7 linked regions of the Macaca fascicularis genome follow. The protein of the gene in region 1 purifies or fractionates together with the protein of each later gene. This does not show direct contact. Links are inferred from orthologs where the notes say so. Each region holds a gene or a part of one and is shown in the gene's direction. Other genes may lie near its edges. The genes, in order: RPA3, RFC1, SMARCAL1, PRPF19, RFWD3, TOP3A and ZUP1.

Region 1 (4,210 bases):
ACTAAGGGAGACTATCATTTAATTATCGTACATGAGATTCCAATCTTAAATTGCCACGTCAAGTCTCAAATCGGATCTTTTTTGCTTAAGGGAATTTGAACGATGACAATTCTGTAGCTTTGGGCAAATTCACACTCAGTTTCCACAAAGTTATAATACCCAATTAAAACTTCTGTCCCATTTGCACAGTACCGTTTGAAGGTATTTTTATGCGTATTCACTCTAGAATATTCCTGGCAAGGCCGCCGGCTTCGGGTCTCAAGATGAGCCAGGGACAGATTGGAGACTACCCCCAATCTCCCAGGAATCGGTTATCTTCCAGACCTCCAGATCGCCCTCCAGAGTAGAAAGACTGCTGAGGGGGTTTAAACTGTTGAGTCAAACATACCGCCAAAAGTTAGGGTCAACCGGTACCTTGCAAATCATTCCGCCTAACCCTTCGTTTTGCGGATGGGGAAAATACGCCTCAGAAGGGGGAACCCTAGCTCGGGGAACACTAACTCGGGGTCTAACAACGATTTAAGCTTGTCTCCTCTGGTAGTGGCCAGTAGTCCTTCTCCGTTACCCATCCTTAATTGCTTCTATTGGCTGCCAACGCGGAGGAGGTAGCGGGGTGAGAGAACCGGCACCTCCGCAGTGTGGCCAGGTTGGGCTAAAAAACGTCTTAGAAGTAATCGAGTCACTCTCTCTTCTTACAGGTGGAGAAACTGGAGAAAGTAGAGTGACGCAGCGAAAGGAGTAAATCGACCCTCAGCCAACAAGTGGCAAAAGCCTGAAGAAAGTGATCAAGATCACTGATGACCCCTCTCCCCATCTCCAAGGGGGCTGGTATCAAAACCCCGACGCCACACCACATATTATTCAGCAAAACTCCCGCGCCTCCCACGCAGAACCGGCAAGAGGGAAGGCGAGGCAACAGTAACAGCTGGTACGCAGCACCCACAGCACCGCGGCAGCAGCTGGTACCGAAATCCCGCCTAGCTCTTTTGACTCTGTCCGCGGGAAGAATGGGGAAATAGTAAGGCTGCGGCGCCTCCCGCGAGAAGAGGTACCTGAGGCTCGCGCCGCAGTCCGCCGCCGCACCGGCACCGGAGCTCCACACCCCACTTCCGGGGTCAAGTCACCGCCGAGAATCCAGTGATCGCAGAAGGGTAGCCTCAAGTTCCGCCCCTATCCAAGCCCCGCCTCCACTGCCTCTCGCCCTGTGTCAGGCAACTTCCAGGACGCCGTGCGTCACTAAGCAGCCAATCTCCACTTCCGGACGCATCCCGCCCCTTCTCCACCCCTTTCAGTGACAGCGCGATTGCGATTTAGTTTTCCGCGCATTTAATTGGCGAAGCTGGAGCGCTAGTCTTCGCTGATTGGTGCCGGGAAATCTGCCCCATAGACACCCGCGGGGCGCACAGTTTCAGTAGTTCGTGGGTTTCCCGCCAGCTGCAGTCTTGGACCATAATCATGGTGGACATGATGGAGTTACCGAGGTCGCGCATCAACGTCGGCATGCTAGCTCAGTTCATCGACAAGCCTGTCTGCTTCGTAGGGAGGCTGGAAAAGGTATGCGGGTTCGCAGTCATGGGCTCCCCTGTCCGTAGCTGGAGGGAGGGACCCCATGACCGCCTGGGTGGCGGATTCTAAGTGGATAACGGCGGATGAAAAAGGACGGAAAGCCTCAGATCACTGCGCTCCCGAATCCTTTATTTTGCAAAAGGAGACTTCTTGGAAATTCTTTAGCCGTTGTAGCCCCATTTTGGTGCCTCTTTTATGACACGGAAACAAGGTGTTTTCAGATGCTCTGCGTTCTAAATTCCAGTGCCCGTCGCCTCCGTTCTGGCCGTGCTTACGTAGGGGAAATTATAAACACGACTCCCACATCTAGCTTCAGATTTCTTAGTTTACTCAGACGTCACGGACGCCGACAAAACTAATCTGCTGGATTCCTTCTCTTCTGAAATTACTTCTTTTTGCAAACCTCGTTTCCTCGTAATCGCTTCTCTGTAAAACATGCCTTGATTGTCCGCTTTGGGTCCCGTAGTAGTGAGTTATCTAACCCCACTATTAAAGTGAAGTTCCCTCATTCTACAGGCGAGAAACAGGCCCAAAGTCTTGGAATCAGTGACCTGAAAAGCTGAGGAAAAGAAAACTATTATATAAAGACTTATTTAGTAGCTCATTTCATCCACACATCCTTTTCCTTAAATGAGTGTTGCTTTGACTTCCCAAGTAGGGAAACTGAGTATGAGTGGTAGGTGGTTGACTAAAATGCTCAGAAACTCAGCAAGTGGCAAAGGTGGCATTCAAACGCGATCTGACAGCGCTCTTTACAGCTGCTTCCCAGGAGTAGACACAGATATTCTAGCAACCAGTTCTCCTTTTACTTCATCATGCCTGATTTTTAAAACATACCCTCCATGGGATATGTGCTGTCTAAATCATGAGTGCCAGCAGCTTTCACTTTTCGATAGGGTGGGCTTCCTTTGATTTGTTATTAGAATAGGGTTGCCATATTTAGCAAATACAGAACCTACTTATACACTACCAAAAAAAAATCCTTGTTTATCTGAGATTCAAAATTAACTGTGTTCCATGAAGACATTTGGTAACATAAGATTATAATTTGAACTAATAAGTTGAATAAACTGAATGAATAGAACGAATAAACTGTTCAAAAAACAGTTGATTTGTGCTCAATTAAGGATCAATGTACTCATCGTTTGTCAAACTTTTTTGTTGTTTCAGTGAGATTTTAATCTTATGTTTCGTTTTTAGATTCATCCCACTGGAAAAATGTTTATTCTTTCAGATGGAGAAGGAAAAAATGGAACCATCGAGTTGATGGAACCCGTATGTTTAAATATTAATAAGTCTCATATATATTATAGTTAATTCTTCATATGGATTTGGTTTGTTGCCAATGTGTCTAATTTTTTGGAATGAATTTAAAAAGGATGAGCTGGTAAAACGTCCCTGGCTCAAAAATTAAATTCTTGTACTATTCTCTCATTATATTTCCTTTTACATTTTTAACCAATGATTTTTTGGGCTTCATGATTTTTGAAAATATCCCATAAATGCTGGATAACAATTCTCATTCCTTATGAAAGACCATAAAATCACATAAGAAAAATTTAAATTGTTTTTTTCTTCCTCAAGAGGTTTTTTGTTTTGTTTTTGTTTTTTGTTTTGAGACAGGGTCTCACTCTGTTGCCCTGGGTGGAATGCAGTGCCACCGTCGTGGCTCACTGCAGCCTTAGCCTCCCGAGATCAAGTTGCTCCCATCTCAGCCTCCCCAGTAGCTGAGACTACAGGCATGCTCAACCATGCCTGGCTAATTTTTGTTTTGTTTTGTTTTTTGTAGAGATGGAGTCTTCCTATGTTGCTCAGGCTGGTCTTGAACTCTTGGTCTCAGGCAATCCTCCTGCCTCGACCTGTCCCTCAAAGTTTTAAATTTTATTTTATTTTCTATTTTTGTTCATATATTTCAGTTTTTACTTATTTATTTTTGCATTTTATGTTTAAAATACTTAAAACTTGTTTTGGCATTTTGTGAAGACAAATCCATATGCTGTTTGGTTAATGTGTACAGAACACATTGTGAAATACAGATTATAGAAGATTCCTCTCATAGGAAATTACTGCTTATAGAAATGCTGGACATTTTCAATAGCGATTTCGGCTTTAACTTGAATTGTAGCTTTGTACTTGAAGCTGCTAGTAAATGTAACAGGAATGTTAACATGCTGACAGTTAAGTACTCAAACATTTGTTAACAAGTTACATTTTAACTTTTGCATTGGTAATTTTTAAAATTACTTTGTTACTTGAAGTGAAAGATTAGTAACCTGTATAACAGTTTTCCAAATTAATTGTCAACTGAAAATGTGGTAACACCAAATTGACGTCTTGTTCTGTGCCTTAGCTTGATGAAGAAATCTCTGGAATTATGGAAGTGGTTGGAAAAGTAACCACCAAGGCCACCATCTTGTGTACATCTTATGTCCAGTTTAAAGAAGATAACCATCCTTTTGGTAAATAAAGCATTCTAGTATTGACTGGTTTTATGTAATTAGCAGGAAAACTTTTTATTTTTAATTTGATATATATTGGGCTAAAGAATTAGTACTGCTATATTTTCAATTTCTATAGAATTTTGTGATCCTAAAGGAAAATGGGGGTACATTTTGTTTTGACCTGCTTCTAAGTAGTGCTTATA
Region 2 (3,500 bases), on another chromosome or scaffold:
ATTAACTTTTAATTAGGAAACTTTGAAACAAAAATCTCAACACTATACCTTGTTTTTTCCAAACTAAAATTGGAGTACTTATTACTTCTAAAATCCAACATGTTCTCACTTTTAGAAATTGCGTTTGGTGGTTTCTGGTGTGTTTGTTAATTTTTATAGTTTAGAAGGTGGTGACTTCCACAAACAGGAAAGTCTGTCATGACAAGACCATCCCAGGCTGAATAGCCCACCTGGATATCTCTGATTGCTCTCTGTAGTACGTTTAGCAGGATAGAAATTCTGTATGTTTCATCAGGTTTCTTCTTTCCTCACTTTTCTGCTCTTTAAGATGAAGAAAGAGTCCAAACTGGAGAGAACACCCCAAAAAAATGTTCAAGGCAAAAGAAAAATTAGTCCATCTAAAAAGGAATCGGAATCTAAAAAGAGCAAGCCGACTTCCAAAAGGGACAGTTTGGCAAAGACAATAAAAAAGGAAACAGATGTGTTTTGGAGAGGCCTGGATTTCAAGGAGCAGGTGGCCGAGGAAACAAGTGGTGACAGCAAGGCTAGGAATTTGGCTGATGACAGCAGTGAAAACAAAGTGGAAAATTTGCTCTGGGTGGATAAATATAAGCCAACCTCACTCAAGACCATAATTGGACAGCAAGGTGACCAGAGCTGTGCCAACAAACTCCTACGCTGGCTCCGAAACTGGCACAAGAGTTCTTCTGAAGATAAAAAACACGGTGATTTTACAGCCTCACTCATTTTTGTGTGTGTGTATATCAACATGTGATTGCTCAGTGGCACATATATAAGAAAATCTAACGGTTCATTCATCTGTCAGCAAGCATTTACTAAGAGCTTGATCTGAACCCAGGTGCAGTACTAGACCCTGCTGGTGGTGTTGTGAACAAAACAGTCCCTCTCAGGAGTTCACAGGCAGTGGGGGAGGCTTATCTGAACCAGCAATTAAAATGTATTGTGCCAAGTACTGCTAGAGGGGTAAGTCCAGGGTGCTGTGAGGATGAAGATGTGTGGTCAGGGCCTGGGTGTGTGTCCTCCCGTCCTGGAGGAAGGGATGGCTAAGCTAAGACTTGGAAACAAAGTAGGAGGTAGCTAGGCGAAGGGAGGGAGGGGTGAGTGTTGGGTAGGAAAGAGTATGTGTCCCAAGGTCTGAAGCCATGTGACAGTAAGACCCCTGAGTGGCAAGGGCACTAGGAGGAAAGGTGTGAATAAATAACGGAGGCATGCGTGCAGGGCAGTCAGCCTCAACTCCCGGTAGCAAGCACGATTTGCTCTGGCAGGCCTGATAGGCCTGTGCTTCTGTAGTTTCTGTCCTTGTTTGTGATGTATTTATTGGGGAGAGTGAAAAGCTCCAGTATGTATTTAATGTCCACAGTATTTCTTAACGGAGGTTTGAGATCACAAATGTTTTAGTAGTGTTGTCAACATAGACCAGTGATGACTAGATGCCGATCACCGTTGCTGATGATGCCTGTTTATTTAAACAGATAATATATTGTAATGGTATAGGACTCAATTTAAGTTAAATCATTTTTTCATTCTGAAACTTAATAAAATCTCCCCTAAAAGAGAGACAGGCATTTCATGTGCCCAGAGAAGACTTTTTTTTTTTTTTTTTTTTGAGACGGAGTCTCGCTCTGTCGCCCAGGCTGGAGTGCAGTGGCGCGATCTCGGCTCACTGCAAGGTCCGCCTCCTGGGTTCACGCCATTCTCCTGCCTCAGCCTCCCGAGTAGCTGGGACTACAGGCGCCCACAACCGCGCCCGGCTAATTTTTTGTATTTTTAGTAGAGACAGAGTTTCACCGTGGTCTCGATCTCCTGACCTTGTGATCCGCCCGCCTCGGCCTCCCAAAGTGCTGGGATTACAGGCGTGAGCCACCGCGCCCGGCCGACTTTTTTTTTTTGAGACAGTCTCGCTCTATTGCCCAGGCTGGAGTGCAGTGGCGTGATCTAGGCTCACTGCAACCTCTGCCGCTTGGGTTCAGGAGGCTGAGTACCTGGGGCTACAGGTACACACCACCATGCCCGGCTAATTTTTTGTATTTTTAGTAGAGATGGGGTTTCACCATGCTGGCCAGGCTGGTCTCGAACCCCTGACCATGTGATCCACCCGCCTCTGCCTCCCCAAACGCTGAGATTATAGGCATGAGCCACCGTGCCTGGCCGAGAAGACTGTTTTAAAGCTTCAGGTGAACTGTAGTCCCTGTCTGCATGCCTGCTGGCAGTAGGTTTAAAACCATTGTCTCTGTCAGTTATTGAGTATGAGTTGAGCCTGATGTATGTGCCAGGTGCTCACGTGGTGAGGGGAGGAAGAGTGCTGGTCTAGTGTTGAGGGGCACAAGATAGTTGCAGACACAGCATCTTCAAGTCAGTTTTTTTTCTTGTGACCATGTAGCTACTATGCTTGTTAACATTTAGTGAAGCATGCATGGCTCTGTGCTCAGCCATTCGGTCCTCACAACATCCTTAGTAGCAACTTTACTGTTGTTCTCCTTGTCTAACAAAGGAGGAGGCAGTCACAGGGGCTAAGTTACTTTTAACTCACCGTGGCTGGTGAGAGGTGGCATGAGGATGGATGGAGTCGGGATCGAGCCCCGGCAGCGTGCTCCATGGCCTGTGCATTCACAGGGAAGGAAACTCATACAATTATTATTTCAAATCAAGAGTTTTAAAGTGAGTTAGTTTTAGTTTTTTATTTTGGGTGGAGGTGAGCTAGGAAGTAGAATTTCACTGAATGCTCTGGAAACTTGTTTATGTTTTGTAGAAAATATTCTGCAAATTTAGAACTAAACTGGAGGATGGCTGTCTATGCGAAGTTTAGGCACAACTATCCCTGCCATGCCTGAATTTCTGTTAGGTGATATAGGTTAACACTCTGGAACTTCTTTTTTCCTAGCAGCAAAGTTTGGTAAATTTTCCGGCAAAGATGATGGCTCTAGTTTTAAAGCAGCGTTGCTGTCAGGCCCTCCTGGTGTTGGCAAAACCACCACAGCTTCCCTGGTGTGTCAGGTGGGTACTTTGTCGCAGTGTGGTTGGACAGATAACCTCAAGTGGTCATGGCTAGGAGATAAAAGCGTGTACCCACATGTGTGCCTGTGTGTGTGTGTGTGTGTGGTGTCTATATATAAACTGTGTTTATTTGTCTAAAATAAAACCTTTAGAACCTGTTTTGGTTCTGGTGATGTTTGTAATTTTAATCCTTTTAAAATATTGGTAATTAAAGTACTAGGCAATACTTACCTATGAGCGAGGCAGCGTGCTCAGCACGTGGGTGTGTTATAGATAACAAAAACATGTATTCTAGACTCTGAAAGATGCAAATATCTTAATGCCCTTGAATAATTCTGTGTACTGAATAATTATCTGTACTGTCATCATCCACACGTGTGAAATGAAATAGGCTTAGGGAGGAGGGTGGAGGCCCAGGTTTCACCCATGTAGCACGACTCAGGGTTCTACTCTTCAGCACTGTGTGGTCCTGCCTTTGTTCCTGT
Region 3 (3,500 bases), on another chromosome or scaffold:
GTACCTAAGTTTTGGTCTGTATTTTCAATTGGTAGTTGGGATAGATTCCCAGAAGTTGAATCATTATTCTTAGAGCTCTTGCTATAATTGCCAAATTGTTTTCTAGAAGGTTTTATTCCCAACTAGCAATATGGTTGTCTAATTGTTTCTCATCAATTTTGATAAGTAATTTTGACAAGTTTGATAAGTAAAAAAGTCCCTTATTTTTCTGATTATTTGTGAAGGTGAACATTTCTTCAAATGTTTGTTAGTCTTCTTCCTCCTTTTTTGAATTGGCTACATCTCTATCCTCTTCTTTTGTGGTCTTAGTACTTTTTTAAAGCATAAGCTCTTTTTATATTTCTTTACTCAGGGTTTTTGCCTTTCACTTCAGTGTGTGTCTGTTGACAGCTTAGTGTTATACAGTTGAATTTGTTAATTATAAAAATGCATCTGTAGTAGATGAAATAATGTTTAGAACTGTGCGTTTGTGACCTGGTGATCCTGGTCCTCACTCCTTTCTTCTCTGAGCAGTAGACAGAGTAGCGACCTAGGAGTGGGCTTAACTGGGTGATTTGTGGTGTGCTGACCTCAGTGGCTTCTCCAACACAGTGCCAGAAATTATCTAATAAGTTTATTCATCCTGGTAAGCTTCCTCTTTCCCTTGTTAATTTCTGAATTTTAAATTTTTTGATTTGAAAAATGTAGGGAGGCCAGGTATGGTGCCTCACGCCTGTAATACCAGCACTTCAGGAGGCTCAGGCGGGTAGATGGCTTGAGCTTAGGGGTTTGATACCAGCCTGGGCAACATAGCGAAACCCTGTCTCGACAAAAAATACGAAAGTTAACCCCATGTGGTGGTGCACACCTGTGGTCCCAGCTACTGGGGAGTCTGAGGTGGAGGATGGTTTGAGCCAGGGAGTTTGAGGCTGTAGTAAGCCCTGATCATGGCACTGCACTCCAGCCTGGGTGACAGAGCAAGACCCTGTCTCAAAAAAAAAAAAAAGAAAAACTTAAGGAGATGGAAAGTTACATTCAACAAATATTGAAATTCCCAAAGCCCCAACTAGAAAACACTTTCAAGCCTTCCTAATCTAACAGTGCCTTTTCTTGCCTTCCTGCCAAACCTAGTGCCTCTTGAACATGTCCCTTCCCCACTTTCTCCCTCTTCCCTTGCCTGTGTTTCAAAGCCACATCATAGCCCTCTGCTTTATCACTTCTGTTCGATTCTTCTTCTTTGGCAGTGAAAGCAGCCCAGAGCCTCCCCACGGTCAACCTGCAGCCTCTGGAATGGGCCTATGGCAGCAGCGAGTCACCCTCCACCAGCAGTGAGGGACAGGCCGGCCTTCCATCAGCTCCGTCGCTTTCCTTTGTCAAAGGGCGATGCATGCTCATATCCAGGGCCTACTTCGAGGCAGACATCGGATATTCACAGGACCTGATTGCACTTTTTAAACAGATGGATTCCAGAAGATACGGCAAGTAATTGGTCTTTGTCTGATTCCCTGAATGTGTAGTATGGTCTGTGATCTCAACATAGGGTGTTTTTCTCTACCTTGAATATTCAAAATTTACTTTCTTGGGAAAGCCTTCCCGTTCTGCTCCTCTTCCTATAGAAAGATGACACGTTAATTATTCCAGATAGTAAACATACAGTGGCGGCTGTTTTGTCATTAAGGCCTTCCAAAGAGAAGACCCCATAATTTCCCCCTGGTCAATGCCTTCTTGGTGGAAGCAGGTAAATTCCTGCTTCAGCCATTTAAAACCCATCTGTTTTTATTTTGGCCTTTGCAGAGCAAAAAAACAGGTGGTTGCCATAAAAATAAATGCTTTTCCATATGCAAACTTCGTGGTTTTCAAACTTGAGCCTGCAGGGAACCGCCTGCAGGGGATGTTAAAACGCAGATCGCTGGGCCCCACTACCGGAGTTTCTGATTCTGGAACTTGAGCGTGGAGCCAAAAATTTGCGTTTCTCACAAGTTCTCTGAGCTGGTGCTGCTGCTGGTGATGGTGCCATAGTTTGAAAATGCTGATAGTTCTCCTCTCGGCCTGCCCGTCAGCATCACGGGGCCACTTTAGAAACACCGATGCCTAGTTCTTATCCAGATAAGTTGATTTATTTTGTCTGAGGTGGGGCTTGGACATTGCTGTTTTGTTTGTTTGTTTCATTTTTTTTTTTAATCTTCAGATGAGCCTAATTATAAGCCAGTCTTGAAATCTACTGGCCAAGGCAGAATAGTTTTGCTGTATTTTATTTATTTTTGAGACAGAGTTTCACTCGGTTGCCCAGGCTGGAGTGCAGTGGCACAATCCTGGCTCATTGCAACCTCTGCCTCCTCGGTTCAAGTGATTTTCCTGCCTCAGCCTCCTGAGTAGCAGGGACTACAGGCACCCGCCACCACACTGGGCTAATTTTTTATTTTTAGTAGAGGCGGAGTTTCACCATGTTGGCCAGGCTGATCTCGAACTTCTCCGCCCGCCTTGGCCTCCCAAAGTGCTGGGATTAATTACAGGCGTGAGCCACCACGCCTGGTCGTTTTGCTTTATCTTTTTGTGAGGTTCTTCAAAAGCTGCCCCATCAGAATAGAGGAGAAGCAGCTATAGATTCTGGACTCCTGGGTGTCATTCTTAGCTTGGGCCACATTGTTTTTTAAAAACGATATAGTTTTTATGGATCGGTGTTTCCCCATTCTTGAATTGGTTTAATCTTGTTCTTAATCAGGTAGAACTTAAATACTTAAAACCTCATGCCTTTGAGACCTCACATTCAAGCATCGTCCTGGAAGAAGCCTCTAGAATTGCTTGCTCAACAAGAGTTTTCATCAGGATTTTGGTTCCTTCCGGGGGAGGCTGATGCTGGTTGCTACGTCATCATCCTTAGGTGGATGGAGTTTGGACTGATGAGGGCAGGCTGGTGAGCAGGGCATAGGGGAGTTGTGCGAGGCCCAGACGGGTCGTGAAATGAGCTGCTCCACAACAGCCTAGATCCTTTGCCTTTCCTGCCCCCTTGGATGTCTGGCTTCTGCTTGGGGTGGCCCGTAAAAGGCAAATACAGGCCGGGTGCAATGGCCTGTAATCCCAGCAGTTTGGGAGGCCGAGGTGGGTGGATCACCTGAGGTCACAGGAGTTTGAGACCAGCCTGGCCAACATGATGGAAACCTGTCTACTAAAAATACAAAAACTAACCAGGCATGGTGGTTCCAGCCTGTAATCCCAGCTACTTGGGAGGCTGAGGCAGGAGAATCACTTGAGTCTGGGATGCAGAGGTTGCAGTGAACCAAGATCGCACCACTGCACTCCAGCCTGGGCTACAATCTCAATAAAAGATAAAAAAGGCAAATACAGTGATGTGTGTCTGTCACCGGCCTGTGAGATCACACTCCTGACATGGTCTGCATTCTGGGAGTGGGTACCATGAAAGTATTGATACTGATACTGCTCACACCCGGATGTCCAAAAACCATGATTGGTTCCTTTGCCTCAGCTGTTGCTCACAACGTTTCCTGATTGCTGCTGTGCCA
Region 4 (4,007 bases), on another chromosome or scaffold:
GAGAGTATCTTATCTTACAGATATCCACAAAGAATCATACACTATCTGAGCTGGAAGAGAAACAGAAAATACAAAATAAATTGATAAGAGGCCACTGGTTTGGACTGAGCTCTTGCGCTAGGCCTAACAGACCAAGCTAAAAAGAGTCCTGCTGAAGTTCCACCCCAATGAGCTGAAACTAAGATCTTTATGACCTTCTGAGAGAGAGTGTGTGTGTGCATGTGTGTTGGCAGGGAGAGCTAAATTCCCAAACAGGCAAGTTTTACATGGCATGATAAAGAAGTACCCTCCACTTTAACCTTTACAAGAAAAGTAATTTTGAGATTACCAAATGACCAATCCCATTTTTGTTGTTTCTGTTTTCCTCAGTCCTTTTCTGTCTAAAAAACCAAGCTCCCCTGTTCAGCTCATTGGAACAACCATTAGATTTTATAGTGTAAGGCGCTGCCCAATTTTATAGAATTGCACCCTAAGTCCCAGAGCTACTCTGGAGGCTGAGGCAGAAGGATCACTTGAGCCCAGGAGTTCCAGGATGCACCTGTGATAGCCATGATTGCTACGATTGCACCTGTGAATAGCCACTGCGTTCCAGCCTGGGCAACATTGCCAGAGTCCGTCTCTTAAAAACAAAAACAAAAACAAAACAAAACAAACAAACAAAAAACTTTAAACTAAATTTGTTGTGATTTTGTCTTTTGACAAAGAAGAAAGGGCAGGGAAGCCAATGTGAATTGCCCCAAATCACAGAGCGAAACGGTAGTAGTCAGGACCAAAACGCTGTCTTAGCCGTTTTCTTAGTTCCTGTACCCATCTGCCTCTGTATTTTTAACACCAGGCCATCCAGCAGTGTCTCTTAAAGGGTGGCCCGAGAAACACCTGACTTAGAATAGCGTGGGGGGCAGTCTGTCTACGCAGATCCGAGGAATCTGCATTTTAACAATGGGAAATTGGGAAATTCTCGCGCACACCAAGGTTTCAAAGACCAGGGTCCCGTGACACAGTGCCGCACAGTTGTCAAAACAAGTGCTGTCCAATTGCTTTGGTTTTAAGTTCTCACTGCATCATGGGAAATGTAGTTTCGAGTCTCCTCTCTTCCGACGCCCCCGCCAATCCCCGGGCGCTTTACGGAACGAGCCGAGTCAATCCGGAAATAACCGAGTGTTCGTGGCGGGCCCTTTCCTGCCCGGCTGCATTCTGGGAAAGGTCCATTTCCGTTAGGTGCTGGAGGCAGTGGCGCGCGGCTGTCCCCATTCCCACGTGAAGCGCTACGCGAGCATCGCTCGACTGGCGGCTCCCAGCTCGCAGCTGAGCAGTCCCGGCAGCAGCGGGGGACCGGAAGTGGCTCGCGGAGGCTCAGAAGCCAGTCCCGGAGTCCGGCGTGTGGCGCCTGGGAGCGCGGCAACGGCGCCATGTCCCTAATCTGCTCCAGTGAGTGTTGCCTGCGGCCGAGCGCGGGTCGCAGGAGGCCGGAGAGCGGCGCGGGAGCGTGTGCGGGCCACTGCGGCGCCGGGGCCGGGGCCGGGGTGGAGGCGGGAATGGGGCGCTCCAGAGGCAGAGCGGCGGCCTGTCAGCCCCGGAGCCCTCCCCTCGGAGCGGGGTGCATTTGCGCAGTGCTCCGCAGTTTACATAGTGCCGGAGGTTTATTGTCGCAGGCATTACTGAGGCAGGTCGCCTCATTCTACCGAGTGGAAACAGGCCTGGACAGAGGGAGCTGGTGCAGGGGAAACAGCCTTGATGTAAGAGTCAGGAAACCCGAGGTCTTGTCCAGGGTCCGCCTCCTGTTGGCTTTGTGAATTGGCTTAAGGCTCTGTGCCTCGGTTTCCCCATCTGCAAAATTGAGAGCATTGCACTGGATATTTTGTGAGGCCTTGCTCGGATAGTCGCAGCTTTTGCAATTTGTAAAGGTCACATGATGAGTTAGAGGTAGGCAAGGCTGGCAGCTAGGTATATGGCTCCCAGCCTTACAGTGTATGACTAATTAAAAACAGCGCACATTTATAAAGCCCTTATTGGTTTACAACGCGCTTCCAAGTCTAGGATCTCATTTTATCCTCACAAGAATTCCCTAAAGGAGAAAAGATCCTGGTGTTGCAAATGAGGAGGCAAGGCTCAGGAAGAGCGGGGCTTATCTAAGAATGCGTAGCTAGTCAATGGCAGAGCTGGGTGACGTAGTTAGGTGACACGGAGTTTGGAGCCTGAATCCTTGCTTTTTCCATACCTTCCACTATCTTTCCCTTTGATATTTTATCATGACGTACATACGTTTTCCTTTCCCTTTTCGTTGTTTCATCAGATTACTCGTTTCCCCTCCCTTTTGCTATTCACCTCCGTCTCTTCTCAGAACCTGTACGTTGATCCAGAGAGGGGGAAGAAGGAAGGGAAATGATGGAAAAGGAATCTCTCACATTGAAGAAATTACAGCTCGCAAAGTACCTTCACATTCATTGTTTCCTTCCAGTCTTGGGAAAGCTCTCTTTTACGTTCCCCAGCACTATCTTTCCTGGCAGGGTTCACTCATTCGTTAGATGTTTACCGAGTGCCCTGGGGGCATCTGCATTGTACTGGAAGTGAGAGACCAGCTGTAATCCTTATCCTCAAGGGGCGCACAGTCTATGCAGGCAAGAGTGTAAATGATACCTCTATTGCGGGTTGTTGTGAACATGAATTACTGTACTGTATGCCTAGAATTGTGCTTGGCACATAGACATGTGCCATGTAAATATTTTTATTGTAATGATTGCCACTTTGCTCCTTGGAATCTTCCAGGTGATAAGTGTCTGCCTGTATCCTAATCAGTTGACTGGTAGCTGGCAGACGTCAATAGCTTCAGGATGGGGACTGGTCACCTAGAAAGACTAAAGGGTATTAGAAAGTTGGGATTTTCAGTCCTACCTCCCACTTACCTGGGGAACGAGAGGGGCTGAAGTTGTCACTAGTGACCAGTGATTTATTGAATCATGCCTTTGTAATGAAGTTTTCATAAAAATACAAAAGGGCAGGATTCAAAGAGCTTCTGTATAGCAGAACATGTGGGCGTTCCTGGAGGGTGGGGTGCCCAGGGAGGGCATGGGAAACTCTGTACTCCTTCTCCCATACCTCATCCTATGCACCTCTTCATCTATACCCTTTGTAATATCCTTTATAATAAACTGGTCAACATAAGTGTTTCCCACAATTCTGTGAGTCACTGTTGAAAATTAATTGAACCCAAAAAGGGGGTCATGGGAACCCTGATTTACAGCTGGTAGATCAGAAGAACAGGTCAAACAACCTGGAGCTTGCGATTGGCATCTGAAGGGGTGGGGGAGTCTGGTGGGACTGAGACCTCAACCCGTGTGATCTGACACTATCTCCAGGTACCTGGTGTCAGAATTGAATTGGAGGACACCCGGATGGTCACATCTGTCACAGAAGTATTTTGTTTTGTGAGAGAATGGGAGAAACTGAGTTTGTTATTCCTATATTCTCAGACTTTATGATTTCTTTGATAATCCCTCTGGAGCTATAGACTAAGATGGATGGAAGGGATTTGAATGGCTTCATGTGTGTCTCCATGTCATGGAGTAAACTGTATTCATAGAGTACACAATCATTGTTCAGATATTAGGTGGCGATAATGGACTGCTGTTCTCTAGGTGCTTGGCACATAGTAGTTGTTAATAATTATTTGTTGACTATCTGATTGTCAGGAGACTAAAGGAAAAGCTAGTTCCACAGCTGGAAAGCGTTCTGGGGCCAGTACAGAACTGGCTTAGGGTCAGATGTCTTGCTTTTTGCTAGTTGATTGTGAGGATGCCTAGTCTTGTTGGGGCTAATAGCAGATGAGGAATCCTCTAGGCTCAAGATTGCCTTCACTCCAAGCTCACTGCCGGCCTTTTCTCTACAGTCTCTAATGAAGTGCCGGAGCACCCATGTGTGTCCCCTGTCTCTAATCATGTTTATGAGCGGCGGCTCATTGAGAAGTACATTGCAGAGAATGGTACCGACCCCATCAACAACCAGCCTCT
Region 5 (3,500 bases), on another chromosome or scaffold:
GGTTTTCTAAATGTTGAAATCCAAGTCTTTTCAAATGCTCAATTAAATCATTTCTAAATCTTGCAGATGTTTCTTTCTGCTGTCTTTAGCATAAGATTTCTGCCAACTGGAAGACCCCTTTGCTTTAACATGGTTTTATAATGGTCCTTTATCCCATCTAAGTTTTTAATAAAAAGATTTGTCATCAAATAGAACCAACAAATTGGAAAAATAACTATTTTCTAATGTTCCCCAAATTGGGTATGTGTTCTGTTCTTTTTTTCTTTTTTTTTTTTTGAGACGGAGTCTCGCTCTGTCGCCCGGGTTGGAGTGCAGTGGCCGGACCTCAGCTCACTGCAAGCTCCGCCTCCCAGGTTCCCGCCATTCTCCTGCCTCAGCCTCCCGAGTAGCTGGGACCACAGGCGCCCACCACCTCGCCCGGCTAGTTTTTTTTTTTTGTATTTTTAGTAGAGACGGGGTTTCACCGTATTAGCCAGGATGGTCTCGATCTCCTGACCTCGTGATCCGCCTGTCTCGGCCTCCCAAAGTGCTGGGATTACAGGCTTGAGCCACCGCACCCGGCCCTGTTCTTTTTTTCTTAACGTGTCCATTCCAGTCCGCTTGATAGTGTGCTGGTGCTGATTTGTCCTTGTTCCCCTTAATGATTAACTGGGTGTGTATTTCTATTACCTTGTTGATTTTTTTTTTTTCTTTTTTTTTCCTTTTCTTTTCTTTTTGAGATGGAGTCTCGCTCTGTTGCGCAGGCTGGAGTTCAGTGGTGTGATCTCAGCTCACTGGAACCTCTGCCTCCTGGGTTCAAGAGATTCTCCTGCCTCAGCCTCCTGAGTAGCTGAGACTACAGGTGCATGCCACCATGCCTAGTTAATTTTTGTATTTGAGGGTTTTAACATTTTGGTCAGGCTGGTCTCAAACTCCTGACCTCAGGTGATCCACCCATCTTGGGCTCTCAAAGTACTGGGATTATAGGCATGAGTCACCATGCCCAGCGACCTTGTTGATTTAAAGCCTATACCTGCACCTGCACCCACCCCCACCCCTTGCTTTTTTTTTGCCCCCTCTCTGGCTGTCCTAATTCTGCTGGAAGAAAGTGCAATAAGCCACGTACTTGGTTCCCTGGAGAAGCTGAAGCTGTCTTGAATCTAGGATTTGATGCATTTTTAAAGAATTTAACTCAACTGGGCACAGTGGCTCATGCCTATAATCCCAGCACCTTGGGAGGCCAAGGCGAGAGGATCGTTTGGGCCCAGGAGTATGAGACCAGTCTGGGCAACATAGTGAGACTCCATCGCTATAAAAAAAAAATTTTTTTTTAACTAGGTTGGTGTGGTGGCACACCTCTCTGGTCCCAGCTACTTGGGAGGCTGAGTTGGGAGGATCACTTGAGCCTAGGAGATCAAGGCTGCTGTGAGCCGTGATGGTGCCACTGTACCTTAGCATTGGTGATAGAGTGAGACCCTGTTTATATATATAACTTAGTTAAAAATAAATGTTATAGCCTAGTAAGAGAACAGAGTAACAAATAGTTTTCAAAGGTTATTGGTTTTTGTTGGTTATTTTTACCCCTTTCGGGAATGTGGGTACTTGAATTGTCATCGGTCTCATTTCAGACAGATGTGACATATCTTGACTGACATATTATTTATTTTCATTCTCTATTGTTCACTGTTCCTTCTGCATCTAGAGTGTGGTTCTAGTGAAATATTCTCTCTCAACAGCTTTATTGAAGTATAATTGACAGTAAACTGTACATATTTAAAGTATACAGTTTGATTACTTTTCACATATGTAATACACCCCTGAAACCATCACTACAATCAAGATAACTACTTTTTTTTTGACACAAGATCAAGTTATATCTCCCAGGCTGGAATGCAGGGAGGGGTGTGATCTCAGCTCATTACAACCTCCACCTCCTGGGCTCAAGTCATCCTTCCACCTCAGCCTCTCGAGTAACTGGGAGTACAGGCTCGCCCCACTATGCCCAGCTAATTCTCATATTTTTTGTAGCGACAGGATTTCACCATATTTCCCAGGCTGGTCTCGAACTCATGAGCTCAAGCGAGCCATCCACCTCAGCCTCCCAAAGTGCTGGGATTCCAGGCATAAGCTACCATGCTTGGCCATGAACATATGTATTACCCCAAAAGTTTCCCTATGGCTTTTTATAATCTCACCTGCCCCTCCCTCCTCTCCCATCCCCGGCAGTCACTGCTTTTTGTCACTACAGATGAGTTTGTATTTTCTAGAATTTTACATAATTGGAATCATACAGTGTTAACCATTTTTTGGTCTGACTTCTTTCTCACTGCATGATTTTTTATTGTAGTATATGTTAGTAGTTAATTCCTTTTTAATGGATAGTATTCCATCATACCTGTATACAGTAGGTTTGTTTATCCATTTACCTGGACGTTTGAAATGGGTTATACTTTTTCTTTTTCTTTTTTTTTTTTTTCCTTCTTTTCATTGTCATGAGGCAAGCGTGGGTTGTACTCTCTTTTCTCTTCTCTCTTCTCTCTCCCCTCTCCCCTCTCCTCTCTCCTCTCTTCTCTCTTCCTCTTCCTCTTCCTCTTCCTCTTCCTCTTCCTCTTCCTCTTCCCTTCTCTGACAAGTTTTGCTCTGGTTACCCAGGCTGGAGTGTAGGGTGCAATCTCGACTCACTGCAACCTCCACCTCCCAGGTTCAAGCGACTCTCCTGCCTCAACCTCCCGAGTAGCTGAGATTACAGGAACTTGCCACCACGCCTGGCTAATTTTTTGTATTTTTAGTAGAGACAGGGTTTCACTGTGTTGACCAGGCTTGTCTTGAATTCCTGACCTCAGGTAATCCACCTGCCTTGGCCTCCCAAAGGTTTGGGATTACAGAGGTGAGACACCACGCCCGGCCTGGGTTGTACTTTTTTAAATAAATCATAGGCCGGGCGCAGTGGCTCATGCCTGTAATCCCAGCACTTCGGGAGGCTAAGTCGAGCAGATCACTTGAGGCCAAGAGTTCGAAACCAGCCTGGCCAATACAGTGAAACCCCATGTCTACCAAAAAATACAAAGTTAGCCGGGCGTGGTGGCGCGTGCCTGTAATCCCAGCTGCTCGAGAGGCTGAGGCAGGAGAATTGCTTGAACCCAGGAGGCAGAGGTTGTAGTGAGCCAAGATTATGCACTGCTTTTTAGGCTGGGCGACAGAGTGAGACCCTGTCTCAAAAATAAATGAATAAATTATAACACTGGAGAATTGTCGTTTGACCAGCTGGTTCCCAGGGACTTATATGCGAAGAAAGGTGGACAAAGAAGCTACTTGAAAAAGTAGTTTGCATTGCCCTAGGTTCACTTTCAGTGATCTGTTTCATACTATTTTGCCTTTGGCAGGCTTTGGTGTTAAGATGTTGAGTACTGCCAACATGAGAAGCAGTCAGTACATTCCGATGCATGGCAAACAGATCCGTGGACTGGCTTTTAGCAGTTACTCCAGAGGCTTGCTACTCTCTGCTTCCCTAGACAACACTA
Region 6 (3,500 bases), on another chromosome or scaffold:
GTGAGGGTTGCAGTGAGCCGAGATCATGCCACTGCACTCCAGCTTGGGCAACAGAGTGAGACTGTCTCAAAAAAAAAAAAAAAATTAATGATTTATTTCTAGCAAATGCATTGCATACTACCGTAAATACTGTGTTTTTTAGGGTAATAAAATACTTATTTTCCAAAGCAAAATAACAATGACATGAATGACATTGTTTTACATTTTGCAATTTGTATGTCTGGCTTAATAGAAGAGAGCTAGATTCCCCTATCTGCTTCTGCAGTCAGTCTGCTGAGTCATTGCATGTGCTGGCACCTCTGGGAGACTCCATTTTATACACATGGAAGAATAAGAGCAAAATAGACATAACGTCTTAGAATTTCTTTTTCTTTTTTTTTTTTTTTGAGACAGAGTCTTGCTGTGTCGCCAGGCTGGAGTGCAGTGGCGCAATCTCGGCTCACTGCAACCTCTGACTCCCAGGTTCCAGAGGTTCTCCTGCCTCAGCCTCCTGAGTAGCTGGGACTACAGGCACGTGCCACCACGCCCAGCTAATTATTGTATTTTTAGTAGAGATGGGGTTTCACCATATTGGTCAGGATGGTCTCAATCTCTTGACCTCGTGATCCACCTGCCTCGGCCTCCCAAAGTGCTGGGATTATAGGCATGAGCCACCATGCCCGGCCTTAGAATTATTATAAAAATCTTTGTGTGGGTGACAGAGTCTTCACTGTGTCACCCAGGCTGGAGTGTCGTGGCACAATTTCAGCTCACTGCAACCTCCACTGCCCAGGTTGAAGCGATCCTCCTGTCTCAGCCTCTCAAGTAGCTGGGACTACAGACACATGCCAGCATGCCCAGCTAATTTTTTTAGTATTTTTAGTAGAGACAGGGTTTCACCATGGTGGTCAGGCTGGTCTCGAACTCCTGACCTCAAATGATCCACCCGCCTCTGCCTCCCAAAGTGCTGGGATTACAGGCATGAGCCACCACGCCCGGCCTATAAAATAGTTTTGCATTCTCCTTGGAAGGGCTTAGGCACCCTGGAACCACACTTGGAGAACTGCTGATATAGAGACATGGAACTTCTCAGAGGTGTTTTTATTTTAGTGAATTACTGGGATCTTAGATGTCATCTGCACTGCTTCCCACTGTCCACTCCTGTGATGACTGGCAAGGGCTTGTAGTGGGCTGACAGAGGGCCTCACAGGGGACTTGCGTGGGCTTCCTGATGCATAAGGAATGGTGGAGAGAGGCCTAGGGCTAAAGCAGCCCTCAGTGGACTAAGGAGAAGCTGGCACCTGGTTGTTAATGTTTTTTCCCATCTTCTGGCCTCACTAGGTTGAAGTTAAAGTTTAAGCGCGGTAGCCTTCCCCCGACCATGCCTCTGGAGTTTGTTTGCTGCATCGGTGGATGCGACGAGACCCTGAGGGAGATCCTGGACCTGAGATTTTCACGGGGCCCCCCCAGGGCTATCCAGCCCTCTGGTCACCTGCAGGCTAGCCAGTCTCTGAACAGGATGGACAATAGCCAGCACCCCCAGCCTGCTGACAGCAGACAGACTGGGCCCTCAAAGGCTCTGGCCCAGACCCTCCCACCACCCACGGCTGCTGGTGAAAGCAATTCTGTGACCTGCAACTGTGGCCAGGAGGCTGTGCTGCTTACTGTCCGTAAGGAGGGCCCCAACCAGGGCCGGCAATTCTTTAAGTGTAACGGGGGTAGCTGCAACTTCTTCCTGTGGGCAGACAGCCCCAATCAGGGAGCAGGAGGGCCTCCCGCCTCGGCATATAGACCCCTAGGCGGCTCCCTGGGACGCCCACCAGGCCCAGGGATCCACCTGGGTGGGTTTGGCAATCCTGGTGATGGCAGTGGTACTGGTACATCCTGCCTGTGCAGCCAGCCCGCCGTCACACGGACTGTACAGAAGGATGGGCCCAACAAGGGGCGCCAGTTCCACACGTGTGCCAAGCCGAGAGAGCAGCAGTGTGGCTTCTTCCAGTGGGTCGATGAGAACACCGCTCCAGGTGAGGCAGGGAGGGGCATGGGAATCCCTGCCTTGGGTTTTCAGGTATCTACCTCAGAGAAGACTGGGGACAGCAGAAAGAAGGCAAGGCAGGGTCATGGTGGGATTGGGAAGGGCACCTGGGCTGCCTTGCACCTCTGTTTCCTCACTTGATCACTTTCAGCAAGGTGATGATTGTACAGTCCTCATTCTAGATTAAAGGGTAGCTACCAGTAATGGTGTCATTTGCCCTATGCCTGGCACTGTGCTAAGTATACTTCCTATGCATCTTCCATCCTCATCGGGTAAGCATTATGATCACAATTTTACTTACAAGTGAGAAAGGTGAGACCCAGACACATGAAGTGGGCGTTGCTCAGGGTCCCATAGCAACAGACACCAGAATGAGGACATAGGCCTTCCCAAATGGCCTTGTGCCCTTGCAGCTGTTGTGACCCTTGGCAGACCATAAGCATCAGCCTCATTTCTTTTTTTTTTTTTGAGACTGAGTTTTGCTCTTGTTGCCCAGGCTGGAGTGCAGTGGTGCGATCTTGGCTCACTGCAACTTCCACCTCCCGGGTTCAAGTGATTCTCCTGCCTCAGCCTCCCACGTAGCTGGGATTACAGGCATGCACCACCACGCACAGCTAATTTTGTATTTTTAGTAGAGACATGGGTTTCACCATGTTGGTCAGGCTGGTCTCGAACTCCTGACCTCAGGTTATCTGCCTGCCTTGGCCTCCCAAAGTGCTGGGATTACAGGCGTGAGCCACCATGCCCGGCCCAGCCTCATTTCTTCAGATAGACACCAACCCCAATGATATTTAGGAACCTGCCCAGGGTGACACAGCTTAGGCCAATGTCCGGGAACTGGGTGTCATGAGAAGTGGCACCTAGACATTGCATCAAGTTGAGTGGTGTAGGTGGAGGCATTTTGAATGGTTCCTCCTGCTCCAGTGCACAGCAGAGCTTAATTAAGTAGCTGAGAATGACCCAAAGGCCTAGTGGGAGCTTTGGAGTTGGGTGAATCTGGTTCCAAAGCTCAGCAGTATAACCTTGAACAAATGACTTAGCCTCTCTGCCTCAAGTTTGCTCAACAAGATGGCCCCTGCCTACATTCATAGGATTCCTGTTTTAGAAAGGAGTTTAGTCTCAGACTATGATTCTTATACATGTGTCACCAGCCCGGCATGCACAGGAAGAACCCAGAGGCTTGGTAAAAACTGTGGGACTTGGAACTGGCTACTAGTGCCAGTGGGGCCCAGAGATGGCCATTGCAGTGAGAGGCCCACATTTGAAGTGAGATGCAGTCTGGCCTCTTGTCTCCCCACTTGGAAGGACATGGTATCTGACCCCCAGACTGGCTGGCTGACTGTCCTGGGTAAATGGGCAGCTGGTCTGGAAAGGCCCATTGAGGGACAGGAAGGGGTCGCAGGTTGCTGGTCACAGGCTGCTTGTCTTTCCCACCCCACCACACAGATCAGCTTGCTTGGGTTTCTGCCTCTGTAAAAAGCTCAGC
Region 7 (3,500 bases), on another chromosome or scaffold:
AAGGAAGGTTTTGATCCTCAGGGGGCCTCTCAACTTAATAACAGGTTACAGGGAACAAAGGCCTGGATTGGAGCATGTGAAGTATATATACTCCTGACCTCCCTAAGGGTAAAGTATGTACCTTAAAACCTAAATAAATGTTATTTCCTTATCTGGGAGCTTTGTTTTTTAAAATTTTATTTTTTATCAAAGAGATAGTTTAAAAATAAAATTAAGTAGCACTGAATTAAGTAGTATTGAAAATCAGTAACCTATTCACTATCTTGTGCTGTCCTCTACCCTCAAGTCCTGTCTCTCAGAGGCAACTGTCACTTCCATTGTTTTTAAATAGTATGCTTTCATAGCTGTTTCTTCGTTTATGAGTTTTAAGTATTGTCTGTTTTAATATCTTATACTTGTTTACCTTCAATCCTTCTAATATGATTAAACCTCAGTTTTTATTAAAATCAGAGTTTACATCATTTTATAAAGTCAGATTTTATTACACAATTGCATAAATATTGCTTATTGCTGATTTTGTTTTCTAAAATCATTTATAATTCTTTCTTGAGTTAATAATTGTGTTTCCTTTTCTCTTTTACTATAATATGTGACGACATCATGGCCTCAAGTTTTTGCACCCCACCTGTCATGTAATCTGAGGCTCTCCTTATTCTTGGACACATCCTTCTTGGAGCCTTCTGTCCTCTTTGCTCCAATCTGGACTTTTTGCCTTCTAGATCTACAGCTATTATCATGTAGCATTTGTTCACTCTGTGTGTGTGTGTGTGTGTGTGTGTGTGTGTGTGTGTGTGTTAGGACCTGGATTTGTCTTGGATTTCATGTCTCTTTTTTAGGTTACTTCCTTTTGCTCGAGCACTTCCTTCATTAGTTTCCTGAGAAAGGGTGCCTAGTCATTATTACTTAAATGATAGTTTGGATGGCTATATTATTCTTAATTCTACAATCATTTTCACATCAAATTAAGTTTCTATTCTTCTGATGTCTAGCGATGAATATTACTATTGAGGATGGTAAGATGTGATCAGATTCTCATTTTTAAAATGTATAACCTATTTATTTTCTATGGAAGTTTTTCCAGTCTTCTCTTAGCCCGTCGTAATTTCATGATATTATGAAATTTCATTGTGGGGTGTAGGGCTTTGATTCATTGTGTTAGGCATTTGTTTTTCTCTTTGAATCTGGAATTGTGAGTTGTCTAAGATCTTAGTTCCATCTAGGATAGTAGGTAAGAGCTTGAACTTTGGAGTGAGACTGCCTAACCTTGATTCATACCTTTCCTACTTAATAGCTGAATGAATGAGCTCATCTGTACCTAGGTCTACCATTGATAAAAGAAGGTATTAATAGTAGTTAGACAATTAAATGGAATAATAAAGTGCTTAGAACTGTGACTGGCACACAGCGTGACTTCAGAGGTTAACTATTGTTGTTTGATAGTTATAATCCCTCCATTTTCTTTGTGGAACCGTTGATAGATGGCCACTGAACTTCTCTTTTTTTTTAAATTTATTTGAGACGGAGTTTTTGCTGTGTTGCCCAGGCTAGAGTGCAGTGGCGCGATCTTGGCTCACTGCAACCTCCGCCTCCTGGGTTCAAGTGATTCTCCTGCCTCAGCCTCCTGAGTAGCTGGGATTACAGGTTCCTGCCACCATGCCTGGCTAATTTTTGTATTTTTAGTGGAGACGAGGTTTCACCATGTTGGCCAGACTGGTCTTGAACTCCTGACCTCAGGTGATCCATCCGCCTCGGCCTCCCAAAGTGCTAGGATTACAGGCTTCAGCCACCGCTCCCGGCCTGAACTTCTTTACCTTCTAAGTTTATCATGTCTTTTTCTTTAAAATCTTTGCCTTTTGTTTTATTTTCTAGATTTACTCAAATTTATCTCCCAATTACTGTATTGAAATTTTTATTTTCACCATTATGTTAAGGGGTAATTTCACAGCATCATTTTCTTTATGGTTGCAAAATTTCTTCCAATGTTTTCTTTCTATTGCCTGCATTTTGTTTGTTCCATATTAATTTATTTTCATGTCTGTTACTTTAGTCTTTTCTATTTTGAAAGCTTTCTTTTAACTTTTGGAAATCCTTAGTTGTCCATTCAGAGAGTGAAGAATGAAACATTAAAAAGCTGATTTAATGAAACATTAAAAAGGACTGCATAGAGCTTGCAGATTAGCAGATTTCATTTAAAAGTCTTAGGTGGAAGGTTACTATTTGATTGGGGTACTCTCAAAGATCATTATATAGAGAGATCTTTTCCCAGAAGTTATCCAGAGAAGAGTTTTTCACTTTCCTCCCTAGAGTTCCTGCATTAGTGGAGGGGAGAGTTAAGGTGTGATTTGCCTTCGAAGCAAACTTTCAATTAATCTCATATTTTTAGCCTCACTGTTCTCAAACCTTGTGCTTCTAAGCTTTCAGCCTCTCTCTGATTTTGAAACATACAGTCTCCATTTTCTTTTCTTTTTTTTTTTTTTGAGACGGAGTCTGGCTCTGTCGCCCAGGCTGGGGTGCAGTGGCCAGATCTCAGCTCACTGCAAGCTCCGCCTCCCGGATTTACGCCATTCTCCTGCCTCAGCCTCCCGAGGTAGCTGGAACTACAGGCGCCCGCCACCTCACCCGGCTAGTTTTTTGTATTTTTTAGTAGAGATGGGGTTTCACTGTGTTAGCCAGGATGGTCTCGATCTCCTGACCTCGTGATCCGCCCGTCTCGGCCTCCCAAAGTGCTGGGATTACAGGCTTGAGCCACCGTGCCTGGCCCATTTTCTTTTATTTACTTGGATATGTTCTCTGTGCTGCTTTTCATTTTCTGAAGATGTGAGCTTTTTTCCTCTCTATTCCCATTCTCTTTGTCCTTGGATGTTTAAATCATTTTCTCCTTCAGTATTGTGTCATCGGGCTTTTAAGAGGAAATAGAGATAGATGTCTGTGATCATGTTTAATGGAACATTTGCCTTAAGCTTTATGGCTTTATATTTTCTTTTATGTTTGTTTCTAAGTTATTTAACCAGTGTATCACATTCTTTTTACCACATTAATTGATTAGATTCAGAGGTAAAAATATTTCTTTCGTTTATATAGAAAAACTAATATTGTGTGTATATATAATAACTTAAATTTAAAGAACTATTTTAATGCCCTCTAAATTTATTTCTGCTTTCCTCCTTTTTCTTTTTGCCAATCTGTTCACACTTTCAGATTATATATACTCTGTCATGTTTTGATGTTTTGAGTTTTAAAGTAATTCTTTTTCTTTTTTCTTTTTTTTTTTTTTTTTTTTTGAGACAGAGTCTGTCTCCAGTTTGTCACCCAGACTGGAGTGCAGTGGCGCAATCTTGGCTCCCTTCAACCCCTGCCTCCCAGGCTTAAGTGATTCTTGTGCTTCTGCCTCCTGAGTAGCTGGGATTACAGGCATGTGCCACCACACCTGACTAATTTATTTATTTATTTATTTTTATTTTTAGTAGAGACGGGGTTTCACCATGTTGTCCAGACTGGTC

The links.
Region 2: the proteins of RPA3 (region 1) and RFC1 purify together in Homo sapiens (affinity purification with mass spectrometry; 3 studies listed by BioGRID and IntAct, with this or other methods). This does not show direct contact. The link is inferred for Macaca fascicularis from reciprocal best matches to the Homo sapiens genes RPA3 and RFC1.
Region 3: the proteins of RPA3 (region 1) and SMARCAL1 purify together in Homo sapiens (affinity purification with mass spectrometry; 3 studies listed by BioGRID and IntAct, with this or other methods). This does not show direct contact. The link is inferred for Macaca fascicularis from reciprocal best matches to the Homo sapiens genes RPA3 and SMARCAL1.
Region 4: the proteins of RPA3 (region 1) and PRPF19 purify together in Homo sapiens (affinity purification with western blotting; 3 studies listed by BioGRID, with this or other methods). This does not show direct contact. The link is inferred for Macaca fascicularis from reciprocal best matches to the Homo sapiens genes RPA3 and PRPF19.
Region 5: the proteins of RPA3 (region 1) and RFWD3 purify together in Homo sapiens (affinity purification with mass spectrometry; 5 studies listed by BioGRID and IntAct, with this or other methods). This does not show direct contact. The link is inferred for Macaca fascicularis from reciprocal best matches to the Homo sapiens genes RPA3 and RFWD3.
Region 6: the proteins of RPA3 (region 1) and TOP3A purify together in Homo sapiens (affinity purification with mass spectrometry; 3 studies listed by BioGRID and IntAct, with this or other methods). This does not show direct contact. The link is inferred for Macaca fascicularis from reciprocal best matches to the Homo sapiens genes RPA3 and TOP3A.
Region 7: the proteins of RPA3 (region 1) and ZUP1 purify together in Homo sapiens (affinity purification with western blotting; 3 studies listed by BioGRID, with this or other methods). This does not show direct contact. The link is inferred for Macaca fascicularis from reciprocal best matches to the Homo sapiens genes RPA3 and ZUP1.

What each region holds. Positions count from the first base shown.
Region 1 is NC_088377.1:122,832,888-122,837,097, forward strand, and holds the start of RPA3 (replication protein A 14 kDa subunit), read left to right. Parts: upstream 1-1,410; 5' UTR 1,411-1,455; coding exon 1,456-1,554; intron 1,555-2,766; coding exon 2,767-2,841; intron 2,842-3,916; coding exon 3,917-4,025; intron 4,026-4,210. UniProt on the Homo sapiens protein: As part of the heterotrimeric replication protein A complex (RPA/RP-A), binds and stabilizes single-stranded DNA intermediates that form during DNA replication or upon DNA stress.
Region 2 is NC_088379.1:38,590,733-38,594,232, reverse strand, and holds part of RFC1 (replication factor C subunit 1), read left to right. Parts: intron 1-328; coding exon 329-725; intron 726-2,902; coding exon 2,903-3,015; intron 3,016-3,500. UniProt on the Homo sapiens protein: Subunit of the replication factor C (RFC) complex which acts during elongation of primed DNA templates by DNA polymerases delta and epsilon, and is necessary for ATP-dependent loading of proliferating cell nuclear antigen (PCNA) onto primed DNA.
Region 3 is NC_088386.1:112,310,119-112,313,618, forward strand, and holds part of SMARCAL1 (SWI/SNF-related matrix-associated actin-dependent regulator of chromatin subfamily A-like protein 1), read left to right. Parts: intron 1-1,223; coding exon 1,224-1,457; intron 1,458-3,500. UniProt on the Homo sapiens protein: ATP-dependent annealing helicase that binds selectively to fork DNA relative to ssDNA or dsDNA and catalyzes the rewinding of the stably unwound DNA. Rewinds single-stranded DNA bubbles that are stably bound by replication protein A (RPA).
Region 4 is NC_088388.1:13,367,166-13,371,172, forward strand, and holds the start of PRPF19 (pre-mRNA-processing factor 19), read left to right. Parts: upstream 1-1,207; 5' UTR 1,208-1,409; coding exon 1,410-1,428; intron 1,429-2,341; exon of another isoform or gene 2,342-2,618; intron 2,619-3,886; coding exon 3,887-4,007. UniProt on the Homo sapiens protein: Ubiquitin-protein ligase which is a core component of several complexes mainly involved pre-mRNA splicing and DNA repair. Required for pre-mRNA splicing as component of the spliceosome.
Region 5 is NC_088394.1:70,441,914-70,445,413, reverse strand, and holds part of RFWD3 (E3 ubiquitin-protein ligase RFWD3), read left to right. Parts: intron 1-3,362; coding exon 3,363-3,500. UniProt on the Homo sapiens protein: E3 ubiquitin-protein ligase required for the repair of DNA interstrand cross-links (ICL) in response to DNA damage. Plays a key role in RPA-mediated DNA damage signaling and repair.
Region 6 is NC_088390.1:18,406,098-18,409,597, reverse strand, and holds part of TOP3A (DNA topoisomerase 3-alpha), read left to right. Parts: intron 1-1,320; coding exon 1,321-2,003; intron 2,004-3,500. UniProt on the Homo sapiens protein: Releases the supercoiling and torsional tension of DNA introduced during the DNA replication and transcription by transiently cleaving and rejoining one strand of the DNA duplex.
Region 7 is NC_088378.1:20,658,688-20,662,187, reverse strand, and holds part of ZUP1 (zinc finger-containing ubiquitin peptidase 1), read left to right. Parts: coding exon 1-113; intron 114-3,500. UniProt on the Homo sapiens protein: Deubiquitinase with endodeubiquitinase activity that specifically interacts with and cleaves 'Lys-63'-linked long polyubiquitin chains. Shows only weak activity against 'Lys-11' and 'Lys-48'-linked chains.